2 linked regions of the Macaca fascicularis genome follow. Each later gene encodes a partner of the first gene's protein in a complex. Links are inferred from orthologs where the notes say so. Each region holds a gene or a part of one and is shown on either strand. Other genes may lie near its edges.

Region 1 (6,425 bases):
ATTTCTAATCAAACTTTAAATGTTTCTCAATTCTAATTTCTAATATGTTTATATCAACAGATACAAACCAAATAAAAGCTCTTTGGAGTCCTCCATAATTTAAGAGTATAAAAGGGTTCTCAGACCAAAAAGTTTGAGAACTGACCTAGTGAAATAACTTGTCAGTCTTGCCAATTTTTAAAAAATAAACAGTAATTCTCTCTCCCCACACACCATTCAGAATGTGTTCCCACACTTCCTCCTCCTAACCATCCAATCATTCCCTTCTTTACCTTGTTCCTCAAATCCTTGGTCTAAGAGAAGTAAACCCTTCAGCATTGTCATCTAATCCAGACTCCCTGAGTCTCAAAAAAGCGGTAAAGAGTATATTTCAGCCAGGCGCAGTGGCTCACGCCTGTAATTCCAGCACTTTGGGAAGCCAAGGTGGTCGAATCACCTGAGGTCAGGAGTTCAAGACCAGCCTGACCAACATGGTGAAGCCCCGTCTCCACTAAAATACAAAAATTAGCCGGGCGTGGTGGCAGGCGCCTGTAATCTCAGCTAATTGGCAGGCTGAAGCAGGAGAATCACTTGAACCCAGGAAGTGGAGGCTGCAGTGAGCCAAGATCGTGCTATTGCACTCCAGCCTGGGCAAAATGAGCGAGACTCCATCTCAAAAAAAAAAAAAAAAAAAGTATATTTCAAATCTTTCTTAAGCCAGAGTCTGATCTTCCTTTTTGCATTAATAACAGTATGTGGACGCCTGCTTATTTTCATGCATCAATTAACTAATAGCAGTTTCCTCCCTTCTTTCCTTTTTCCCTTCCTCCCTCTTCCCTCCCTCTCTTCCTTCTTCCCTCCTGTCTCCCTTTGTCCCTCCATCCCTTCCTCTCTCCCTCCCCCTCCCGCTTCCCTCTCTCCCTCCCTCTCCTTCCTTCCTTGTCCTCCTCCCTTCCTCTCTCCCTCTCCTTCCTCCTTCCCTCCTCTCCCTCTTCCCTCCCTTCCTCCTTTCCTCCCTCCTCTTCCTCCCTCCCTCCTTCCCTCTCTTCCTCCCCCTCTCCTTTCTCCCCCTCCTCCTTCCCACTTCCCTCTTTCCTCCCCCTCCCCCTTCCCTCTTTCCTCCCCCTCTCCTTCCTACCCCCTCCCTCCCCCTCCTCCCTTCCCCACCTCTCCTCCTCCATCCTTCCTCTCCCTCCTCCCTCCCTCCCTTTTCGCTTCCTCTCTTCACCCCCTCCTCCCTCGCCCCTCCCCTTTTTCCCTTCCTCTATTCACCCCCTCCTCTCTCCCCCTCCTCCCTCCCTGCCCCCTTTCTCCCTCCCTCTCTCTTCTCCTTCCCTCCCTCCTTCCTTCCTCCCCCTTCCCTCCCTTGCTTGCTTCCTTCACGTTTGTGCACAAGCTCAGCAAGCCTGATTTAAAACGTTTAACAAGAAAGAAGAGGCAGGTGGATCACCTGAAGTCAGGAGTTCAAGACCAGCCTGGCCAATACGTGAAACCCCGTCTCTACTAAAAATACGGAAAAATTAGCCGGGCACGGTGGGGCGTGCCTATAATCCCAGAATTTTGCGAGGCCAAGAGGTCACCTGAGGTCAGGAGTTCGAGACCAGCCTGGCCAACATGGAGACACTCCATCTCTACTAAAAATACAAAATTAGCTGGGCGTGGTGGTGGGCGCCTGTAACCCCAGCTCCTCAGGAGGCTGAGGCAGGAGAATCGCTTGAACCCGGGAGGCGGAGGTTGTAGTGAGCGGAGATTGCGCCACTGCACTCCAGCCCGGGCGACAGAGCAAGACTGTCTTTTAAAAAATAATAAAAAATAAAAGATAATTTTTAAAAAGCCCCAATCCCAAATGCACCTTGCAATCCAAAGGGAAGAAGTTTTGGGGAGAAGTTCTTCCCATTTGGGGGGTGCTCCCATTTTCCTCTCTCTTCCCTCACCCCTTATTCTCTCTCAGGGATAGGGGTTCAGTTCGGAGGTGTCCCTGAGCCACACGTCCTCGCCTCTCCCCGTAAACGGTGGCGTCCCCCTCTCTCTTTCCCGTTCCTTCCCTTCCTTCCTCCCACCATGAGGGAATCTCCCCTCCACTCCCACTCCCGCCAAGGCACCGTGATCCTCATTCTCACTCATATTGTCAGTGCCCGTCAGGAGACTGGGCTGTTTTTGTCTGTTTCTTGGGGACGACAGATTCTGAGGAAAAAGGGCCAAGAGCTGGTTGTCGCCCTGAGAAAGTTTCTCCTCAGGCAACGGGTGCCAGGACTGGCGGCGCCTAGCACCTTCACCTACAACCAGAAACTAGCCGGCTACCTTCAGGAGCAGGGAGGACCTAAAGGCGAGGTGCAAAACCAGCTGGCGCAGCGACTCCGCAAGCCTCTCACACCTCAACCCAGGTTTCCCGCCACCAAGAAAAGGCACGAGGACGTCCTGCGCGCTAGCTCCACCCCCGGGAGGCGCGCTCGCGGAGTCTGAGGCGCATGCGCAACTGGAAACAGCGTCTGCGTTTCCGCGGCTGAGGTAATTCCGCCATCTTTCACCCGAACGTCCCGGGAAAACTACAAATCCCAGAATCCTCTTTGGTGTCACATATTTTTAGGCGGCGGCCGCAGCGCCTGATTGTTCTTGAAGCACATCTTACTAACTTTTCTCTGTTTCAGACTGCCTTTTCCTCCCTCTTTCCGTTCCCTGATTCCTCCTCTTCCTGCTGGTCTCCTTCACGCCCTCACTTTAGGATTTTGAGACTTTCCGGGACCCCACTGTCACCCCTGTCACCCGCTCCTCGGCCCAGCACTCCGCTGGCAGGAAGACCGGGCTGCGAATCTCCCCGGGAAAACGCCGTAGATTCGCTTCTTCCTCATTGGCCGAAGCGGGGGGGGCGGGGCCCAGCGCGGACCGAACCCCCGTCCCCGCCCACACTCTCTGGTATATAAGTCGGCGCGGCGCCGCGGCGGGCGTTTGGGGAGGCCCGTGAGCTGACGGGCCAGTGAGCGAGCGTCGGGAATGGGCGGAGGCGTTGGGGTCCGGGCCGTGGGTGTGGAGGCGGAGAGGAAGGCGTGGTGTGGCGTCTCCAGGTGATTGCGATTGGGGGAAGGCAGAGGAACCAGAGAACGACTCAGCCGTTTCGGGGGAAGAGGAAGTTGGACAACACCGGCTGTTTTAGTGCTTTTTATTTTTCCCCAATTCAGCAGAGAATATTTTCGAGGGGGGTGAGTTATAATGACCTATCGCGTTTTACTGAGCCCAGTTCCACTCCTGCCCTTCCTCGGCTTTGTAGGGTCTCTCTGCTCCTTCGGAAGCGCTTCTAAGAAGATGGGCAGAGGGGGGAGGTGTGCTACCAACAGCTCATGAATAATTCATGAGCACCGCCCTTCGTCGGGAAGCCCTGCCCCTCCGGATCGCGCTGACGCACGCTGCGTTTACCAAACTTAAGGAAGCGACGTCACAGGCCCTACCCCTAAGACGGGAGGCGGGGCGCCACCTCCAGCACGTGCTGCCTGTACCCGCGCAAGCCCAAAAGGGTGTGCGCAGGCGCTGCTCACTAGGGGGAGGAAGGAGGCGGGGTGGGGAGGTTGTTGGATTTAGAGCCGGGTGGAGACCGCTGAGACTCATTCCTCAGGAACAAGGGTCGGGTGTCAAGGAGACCTTTTCACACCAGGTCCCGTCCCCCGCCTACGGTGGGTGGGATCGCGCGGCAGAGACAAAGGAGATCAGTAGGGCCGGACCTAGCTGCGCAGGGAAGTAGGGTGTCAGTTTGGGGTGGTGGGCTTTTGCGGGGGCTGTGTGGGGGGTTATATTTAAACTCCCAGAGCCGTTAAGTTGGTTCGTACTCCGATGCGCGCGCAACCAGGGTGGTGGCGGAGTGCGCATGCGTGGTTCCGGGGCGAAGGGAACGCGCGCTTGCCGTGCGCGCTCGCGGCGGGGTGGTAGTGGCGGAGGAGAAAGGGGTCGGCGCACGCGCGGTTGAGTGCTCGAGTAGTTCGGGTGTCGCGGGCATCTTGTTTTGGTCTCGCGGGCGAGTGGGGCGCACTTCGCGGGGAGGCGCTTGGGCGCGAGACTAGGCGAGAAGAGCAGAGCTGCGCGCGCACTCGGGAAAGGGGGGGAAGGGAGCAGGGTCCAGGCAGGGGGGGTTAAGCCCCCTGATCCCCCTCGTTACCCCGACTGGGACGGAATAAGGGGAGGAAATGATCGAGATGGCGGCGGAGAAGGAGCCGTTTCTGGTGCCGGCCCCGCCGCCGCCGCTCAAAGATGAGTCGGGCGGAGGGGGCGGCCCCACTGTGCCACCGCACCAAGAGGCCGCCTCTGGGGAGCTCTGCGGCGGGACGGAGCGTGGTCCGGGTCCTTGCGCGCCGTCTGCGGGGTCCCCGGCCGCTGGGGTCGGTCGAGAGAGCCCCGGGGCCGCGGCCACCCCCCCCGGTGGTCCCCAGGCGCAGCAGCACCGAGGAGGCGGCCCCCAGGCGCAGTCGCACGGGGAGGCCCGCCTGTCGGATACCCCGGGGCGAGCCGCTCCCCCGGACGTGGGGGAGGAGCGCCGGGGAGGGGGCGGGACAGAGCTGGGTCCCCCTGCTCCTCCTCGACCCCGCAATGGCTATCAGCCCCACCGGCCACCTGGGGGGGGCGGGGGCAAGAGGAGAAATAGCTGTAATGTAGGGGGAGGTGGGGGAGGCTTTAAACATCCGGCCTTCAAGAGGCGCAGGCGGGTGAATTCGGACTGTGACTCTGTGTTACCCTCCAACTTCCTCCTGGGGGGCAATATCTTTGATCCCCTAAACCTGAATAGCCTCCTGGATGAGGAAGTGAGCCGCGCCCTCAACGCAGAGACCCCTAAGTCATCCCCCCTTCCGGCCAAAGGGCGAGATCCAGTGGAGATCCTCATCCCCAAAGATATTACTGACCCGCTCAGTCTCAATACTTGCACTGATGAGGGCCATGTAGTTCTTGCTTCGCCACTCAAGACTGGTCGGAAGCGGCATAGACACCGGGGACAGCACCACCAGCAGCAGCAGGCAGCCGGAGGGAGTGAGAGCCACCCCGTGCTGCCCACAGCCCCTCTCACCCCCTCACTCCACGGGGAGGGCGCCTCACAGCAGCCGCGGCACAGAGGCCAGAACCGGGATGCCCCCCAACCCTATGAACTCAACACAGCCATCAACTGCAGGGATGAAGTGGTGTCTCCGCTTCCATCTGCTCTACAGGGTCCCTCAGGCTCCCTATCAGCCCCTCCAGCTGCCTCAGTTACCTCTGCACCCCCATCTTCCTCCTCCCGACATCGCAAACGTCGCAGGACTTCCAGCAAGTCGGAGGCAGGGGCTAGGGGTGGAGGCCAGGGTTCCAAGGAAAAGGGCCGAGGGAGTTGGGGAGGCCGTCACCACCACCACCACCCACTGCCTGCAGCAGGCTTCAAAAAGCAACAGCGCAAGTTCCAGTATGGGAATTACTGCAAATACTATGGGTACCGCAATCCTTCCTGTGAGGATGGGCGCCTTCGGGTGTTGAAGCCTGAGTGGTTTCGGGGCCGGGACGTCCTAGATCTGGGCTGCAATGTGGGCCATCTGACCCTGAGCATTGCCTGCAAGTGGGGCCCGTCCCGCATGGTGGGCTTGGATATAGATTCCCGGCTCATCCATTCTGCCCGTCAGAACATCCGACACTACCTTTCCGAGGAGCTGCGTCTCCCACCCCAGACTGTGGAAGGGGACCCGGGGGCAGAGGGTGAGGAAGGGACCACCACCGTTCGAAAGAGGAGCTGCTTCCCAGCCTCGCTGACTGCCAGCCGGGGTCCCATCGCTGCCCCCCAAGTGCCCTTGGATGGAGCGGACACATCAGTCTTCCCCAACAATGTTGTCTTCGTCACGGTAAGAGGGTCCAGAGGCTCTTGGAATAGGGGTCAGGTGTGAAGATGAGATTAAACGGGAATGTGGCAGGGAAGGTTATGACCCAGTTCCTCAAAAGAGAGGTCTGGGTTGGCAAGTGAGAGTCTCTGCTGGGCATCTCTCCCCTCTTATAACCTGAAAAGGTGGGGTCCTCCCCTCTTATAACCTGGAAAGGTGGGGTCTCTACCTTGGGGCATTGACCCTGGAGTCCTTTCTCATGACTGCAAGGATCTCCAAGATAAAGGAAGACTCTTTTTTTTTTTTTTGCAGTGCTCTGGGCTTGGCCTATAATCCACACTGGTCCACCTTCCCTTCCCTTGAAGGCTGCTGCTCACTAGGGAATTCGATCCAGGTGGAACTTGGTCCTCAGATTGACTGAAGGAGCCTGAGATGGGGGTCGGGCATGGAATGTCTTCTAGGGAGATTAGGGTAGCAGCAGACTAATATTGGCGTTTCTGCCCTTTGATAGCCACCTTGCTCCCATCAGCGGCTTTTGTTTTTCTAGACAGTTTGTGAAGAGTGTCAGGAACCCAAGTGACTTGGCTGTAGATCCTCTCCACATTGACCCTAGATAATGGGAGAGGG
Region 2 (6,246 bases), on another chromosome or scaffold:
AGTTCAGGAGTTCAAGACCAGCCTGGCCAACAAAATGAAACAAAGTCTCTACTAAAAATAACAAAATTATCTGGGTGTGGTGGCCCATGCCTGTATCCCAGCTACTCGGGAGGCTGAGGCAGGACAATGGCTTGAACCCAGGAGGCAGAGGTTGCAGTGATGCGAGATCGTACCACTGCACTCCAGTCTGGGAGACAGAATCAGTCTCCATCTCAAAAACAAACAAACAAACACACACAGTGTAGGCTATGATTATCACTACAGCAGGCTCTACTGCTGATTTTCTCTCTTGAAAAAATTAAGTTATAAAGGGCAGACTACCTGCTCTCCAATTCATTTCCTTGTCAAAGCCCTAAGGAAAAGTAGACAGAAATATATAGGCGCAGAAAGCCACAATTTTCCCAGAAACCAGACTTTCCTTATCATTCTCATCTCTCAGCCCAGAGACCCTCCTTCATTCTTTTCCTAAGGATTATTTTTGTGGCTTGAAGTATTTAAGTTCAGAATGATTTACCTTCGATTTAGATTAAATAGCAAGGAACATAAGATATGGTATAATTTAGCTTCTTTATACATTGACTGTAGAGAATCAGGAAGTTATAATACTTTCGTTAGTCTTGATCCTCAAAGTCCATACTTCTCAATGTCCTGTGATAACAGGTATGTGTGTTGTCACTCCACACATTCCAAATCAAACTCATTGTCTTTCTTATCCACACCTGTTCTTTCTACCATCCTCAACTTATTTAAGGATGCCATATTCCACCAAGTTAACCAATCAAGCTACTTATTAGCTGTGTGGATTTTGAGGAAGTTACCCCATCTCTCTGCGGTCTATAAAATATGGATAAAAATCATACTCACATTATAAGGTTGTTAGCATTAGCCAAAATAATGTAAATAAAAGCACTTCAAATTGCTAAGATATAGAACACAAGTAACCATTATTCTATCCAAACTCTTGTTAAATCCTACCAGTTTGACTTTTGAAATGGCTCTCATCTCCATCCAGTGTTTTCTACAACTACTGCTACAACTGTCACTAGAATATGCCAATAGTTTATAAACTGTTCTGTAAGTCATCCATTCTCAGCAGAAGCCTATGTATAACCCATCTAAAATACAGACCTGGTTTTGTGATGCTTCTGTCAAAACTTGCAACATTAGAAATTCCTTAGCACCTTCCCATAACATAATATGCAGTTTAAGAAAACATTGTTTAAAAAAAAAAAAGTCACGACGCAGTGGCTCACGTTTGTAATCCCAGCACTTTGGGAGGCTGAGGCGGTGGATCACGAGGTCAGGAGATGGAGACCATTCTGGTTAACAAGGTGAGATCCCATCTCTACTAAAAATACAAAAAAAAAAAAAAAAAGAAAACAAATTAGCCGGGTGTGGTGGCGGGCGCCTGTAGTCCCAGTTACTCGGGAGGCTGAGGCAGGAGAATGGCGTGAACCCGGGAGGCGGAGCTTGCAGTGAGCCAAGATTGTGCCACTGCACTCCAACCTGGGCAACAGAGCAAGACTCCAAAAAAAAAAAAAAAGTAACATTTTAGTTGCTTTAAATGCAGAATAAAAGCTACTGGGTAATAATACCAGTAATTTTATATACATTTTTGTAAATCCTCACAATCCCACTAGGTAGCAGTTTCTTCCATCTTCTTAATACAAAAACTCAAAAAAGTTATGTGACTTGGCCCAAGCTAGCTAAGTAAATTATCCCAGGTATGTTTGATCCCACATTGTCTACCTTTTGTTAGAATTTCCTGCAATTTATCACCATGGACTCTATGTTCTGACTCAGGAATTCTTAATCTGAAGTCCATGCAACTTTGTCTGGACAAGAATTCTTGTGGGCTCCGTTAAATTGTAAATAATACATTTTAAAGATAAGGTAAAATTAAGACTCTTGTACAAATATAAAATGGAATACATGGTAAAGATTTAAGCACAGTCATGGGTTGCTTAATGACAAGGACACATTCTGAGAAATGCATATTCAGGTGAGTAAGTACATCGTAGGGTATGTAGTTATTGTATGATGTACTCACCTACAAACCTAGGTAGTATCGCCTACTACACACCTATAATCTTATGGGACCACTGTCATACATGCGGTCTGTCGGTATGTGGTGCTGGACTGTAAATAAAGGAATCAGTTAAGTGTTAAAAACCAGTTCAAAGAAGAATTTAAAAAGCAGGTACGGCCGGGCGCGGTGGCTCAAGCCTGTAATCCCAGCACTTTGGGAGGCCGAGGTGGGAGGATCACAAGGTCAGGAGATCGAGACCATCCCGGTTAACACGGTGAAACCCCGTCTCTACTAAAAAATACAAAAAACTAGCCGGGCGAGGTGGCGGGCGCCTGTAGTCCCAGCTACTCGGGAGGCTGAGGCAGGAGAATGGCGTAAACCCGGGAGGCAGAGCTTGCAGTGAGCTGAGATCCGGCCACTACACTCCAGCCTGGGCGACAGAGCCAGACTCCTTCTTAAAAAAAAAAAAAAAAAAAAAAAGCACGTACATAGGCAATAAGGAACGTTGAAATAAATATTAATAAATACTGCTCAGAATAATAATTAATTGCATCTTTACTGGACAAACTCATTTCCATGTTGTTGTAGCGGGTTACATGGTTGAAAAATAGTTCAAAGATCACGAAAGACAGATAACCTGGAAGACTGAGTTAGACAGGACACCAAGTCATTTGTGTGTGTTTGCTATTTAAAATTATTTCGTAATTTTTCCTGAGGAAATTATATGCGAAATGTTTGTTTGGAGACGGAGCCTCTCTCTGTCGCCCAGGCTGGAGTGCAGTGGCGCGATCCTGGCTCACTGTAATCTCCACTTCCCGAGTTCAAGATTCTCCCAACCCGGCCTCTTAAGGGACTACAGGCGTGCACCACCACTCCCCGCTAATTTCTGTGTTTTTAGTAGAGACGCGGTTTTGTCACATTGGCCAGGTTGGTCTTGAACCCCTGACCTCAAGTGATCCGCCCGTGTCGGCCTCCCAGAGTGCTGGGATTACAGGCGTGAGCCACGGTGCCCGGCCTCGCAAAATGTTTTAAAAGGTACATACATGTTTTCCTGAGAAGCTAATCCATAACTTTTATTAGGTTTTCAAAAGCGTTTCACAACAGGTTAAGAATCATTGTTCTAGTCACTGCTTACAATTCAAGTCCCTCAACACGTAGTGGCCTGTGTCTTCTGCTTTGTCTGAATCTTCTCGTCTAAATTTCCTTACTAAATTTTCAAGGCCCAGGTTAAATGGCATCTTACTCTTTGAGATGTTCCACCACCCTGTGTCCTCTAATTAACTGCCTCCTCATTTGTTTTCGCTTAAGTTTTTTTGCTAACGCACTCTGCACACCGTATCTAGCACTTGTTAGTTCCCTTCCATAACTGGATTTTTAACTCTTTGAGGACTATGGCAGAGTCCTGCAAAAGAAGATGATAATTTTAGAATATAAATCCTCACGTTCACTATCCTCTGGCAGCCACAAGTCAGCTCCAATCTGCGAAATACTGCACTGTCTTTACTGACTACTGCTTCTCTCGGCACCCGTACTTCCACAAGGACAACGTCATAGGCAGGGCGCGCCCCAAACCTCCCCATGCTGGGCCCCTATGCGCCCCTACTCTCTGAAAACGAGAACTACAAGTACTGCCGGAAGACTTTTGCGCGTGCGCATAGATAACTAGGTCAAGGAATTGATGGATGCGCAGGCGGGAGGCGGGGTAAGAAGGACGACAAATGATAGAGTGGACCGCAAGAAAAAGGACGGAGAGTTAATCAGACGTCGCCCAAGCTGTGCGACCCTATACGCCGCTTGTAACTTACTCCGTTCAACTCCCAAAATACAGGGTCAAGTACTGCGGCCTTCAGCCCTTTCCGTCTCCCGATCCTGATAGTCTTGGTTACTTTCGCGTCATAGGATGAGCGACAACGTTCGCCGGTCCCGCTCGAGAAAGACGGGCCCAAGGCAGTGCGCGCGCCACCTACGTCACAGGCGAGGTGGTTCCGGGAGGGCGGGGCATCGGAGAGCGCGGCCGGCTGAGAGCCTCGAAGCCAAGGAAGAATTTGATTGGCGGTTTGAAAACGGCGGTTTTTGGCTTGGGCGGAGGTGGACGGGCCAAGTTTTGGGTCCTCATCTGGTGAGGTCCCGCGTTAATGACGTCACATTCTTTCGCGGGAAAAATTCGAAAGTGGATTTTCTGTAATTTTGACAGGTGAGGTGAAGTGTTTCTCGAGCTTTCCTAGGAATGGCTTGAGCGATTTGGGGCGAAGGGACAAAAGACTCTGCTCCGTAAGAAGAGAACCGGGAAGGATGCTGTTTGGAACCAGGATTAGTAACAGCTACTCGGACTGCTTGTAATAAGGGTTGCCTCTTCACCGCTTTTCCCAGGCCCTGCTTTGCAATTTCGAGTACGTATGAGGACCAAAGGGGACTTTGCTGTTCGTATTTAGGACTGATAAAGGATCGAGTCTCCATTGTCATTTGGTGACACAGGATTATGGTTATTAGAATCTTGGCAAATGATATGTGGGTTTCCTTTGTTTATTTGGACTGGATGGTTTCTTAACAATGTTGAATTCGTGATTCCAAAACTTTGTTATCTGAACTATTTAGAGGTTCAGGGTTAGGTTCAAAAAATCCTCCTTGTCTAAAAACAAAAGGAAAAACATCTTGTAATTAAATGAAAAATGGCTCATACTTTACTGAGAACACCGAGTTTTATGTATATGTATTGTATCTGTACATATCGTAGCACAAGGTATATATATGTGTGTGTATGTACGTATATCTGTAGATGTATGTATGTATATAATTATCACAGAACATTTGGGATCTTTAAAAACTTCTTTGGAGATTAATCTTTCACCTGTTAGAAGTCGGTCAGCAGGTGAATTGGCTGGTAGACGTGGACAGATGAACACTTGGAAAAAACTCTTTATCTTTGCATCTCACTTAAATATATGATGCTGTTATCTTAAATAATTTTTTCTGATTAATGCTAAGTTAAGAAAGGGTGGCCGGGCGCGGTGGCTCAAGCCTGTAATCCCAGCACTTTGGGAGGCCAAGACGGGCGGATCACTAGGTCAGGAGATCGAGACCATCCTGGCGAACACGGTGAAACCCCGTCTCTACTAAAAAATACAAAAAAAAAAAAAAAAAAAACTAGCCGGGCGAGGCGGCGGGCGCCTGTAGTCCTAGCTACTCGGGAGGCTGAGGCAGGAGAATGGCGTAAACCCGGGGGGCGGAGCTTGCAGTGAGCTGAGATCCGGCCACTGCACTCTAGCCCGGGCGACAGAGCCAGACTCCGTCTCAAAAAAAAAAAAAAAAAAGAAAGGGTGTTGACTTTCAGTGAAGAAGTATTAGAGCTCTTGTAGATTTTAAAAGATCCAGTTAGCTTTTTTTTTGAGGTTTTCTCCTGTAATCGAATTTAACCATCCTTTAAGAGTTTCCATCTTCCAAGTTCTTTTTAAACTATACCTTTCCAGAAGTAATATCTCAATTTAGGAAAATAATAGAGAATTTATCTTGCAATTGCGAAATAGCATATAAGTAATCCTAAATTAGTAAATATTGGGTTCCTAATATGTAAATTGTAATACTTATTCTTCAGGATTATGAGACTGATAAATACTATATGTAAAGTGTCTCGTCCAATTCCTGCTTGATACATAGTATGTAATCAATAAATAGTTATATAATATATATGATTACACACAATAATTAATTACATATTATATAACAGTAATATATTTATATATTATATAATTACATAATAATTATAATGTATATAATTAACATCATATAATGTATATAATGTAGTTTATAATATAGCACTTTGGGAGGCTGGGAGGATTGCTTGAGCCCAGGAGTTTGAGGCTGCGGTGAGCTATGATTGCAACACTGCACTCCAGCCTAGGTGACAGAGAGAAACCCTGTCTCTATCAAAGAAAAAGAAAAGTTAAAAAGCAAACAAAAGCGAAACCTCCAAATAAAGCATTTAACAGTCTCTAGCATATGGTAGCACTGAATACATGGTAGCTATTAAACAGATCTGATATTAATGACTGCCACATGCCCAGCACTGTGTCTGTACCATGTATTCTCATCTATGTACACAGCATATCCAGCCCAGGAGTGGTTTTCTGGATCTCTCTTTTATCTTCTTGGCATTATTAGGCATCAGCAGTTTATGTGCGCTGGAGGGGAGGGAGATAAGATGTGAGAGTTATATTTCT

What was found. Proteins that work in one complex are often made in the same cells at the same time.
Region 2: MEPCE (region 1) and LARP7 share a complex: the UniProt entries of both Homo sapiens proteins name them as parts of the 7SK RNP complex. The link is inferred for Macaca fascicularis from reciprocal best matches to the Homo sapiens genes MEPCE and LARP7.

The regions. Positions count from the first base shown.
Region 1 is NC_088377.1:49,005,963-49,012,387, forward strand, and holds the start of MEPCE (7SK snRNA methylphosphate capping enzyme), read left to right. Parts: upstream 1-2,923; 5' UTR 2,924-4,151; coding exon 4,152-5,822; intron 5,823-6,425. UniProt on the Homo sapiens protein: S-adenosyl-L-methionine-dependent methyltransferase that adds a methylphosphate cap at the 5'-end of 7SK snRNA (7SK RNA), leading to stabilize it.
Region 2 is NC_088379.1:118,137,896-118,144,141, reverse strand, and holds the start of LARP7 (la-related protein 7), read right to left. Parts: upstream 3,979-6,246; 5' UTR 3,835-3,978; exon of another isoform or gene 3,073-3,834; intron 2,140-3,072; 5' UTR 2,051-2,139; intron 1,349-2,050; 5' UTR 1,254-1,348; intron 1-1,253. UniProt on the Homo sapiens protein: RNA-binding protein that specifically binds distinct small nuclear RNA (snRNAs) and regulates their processing and function.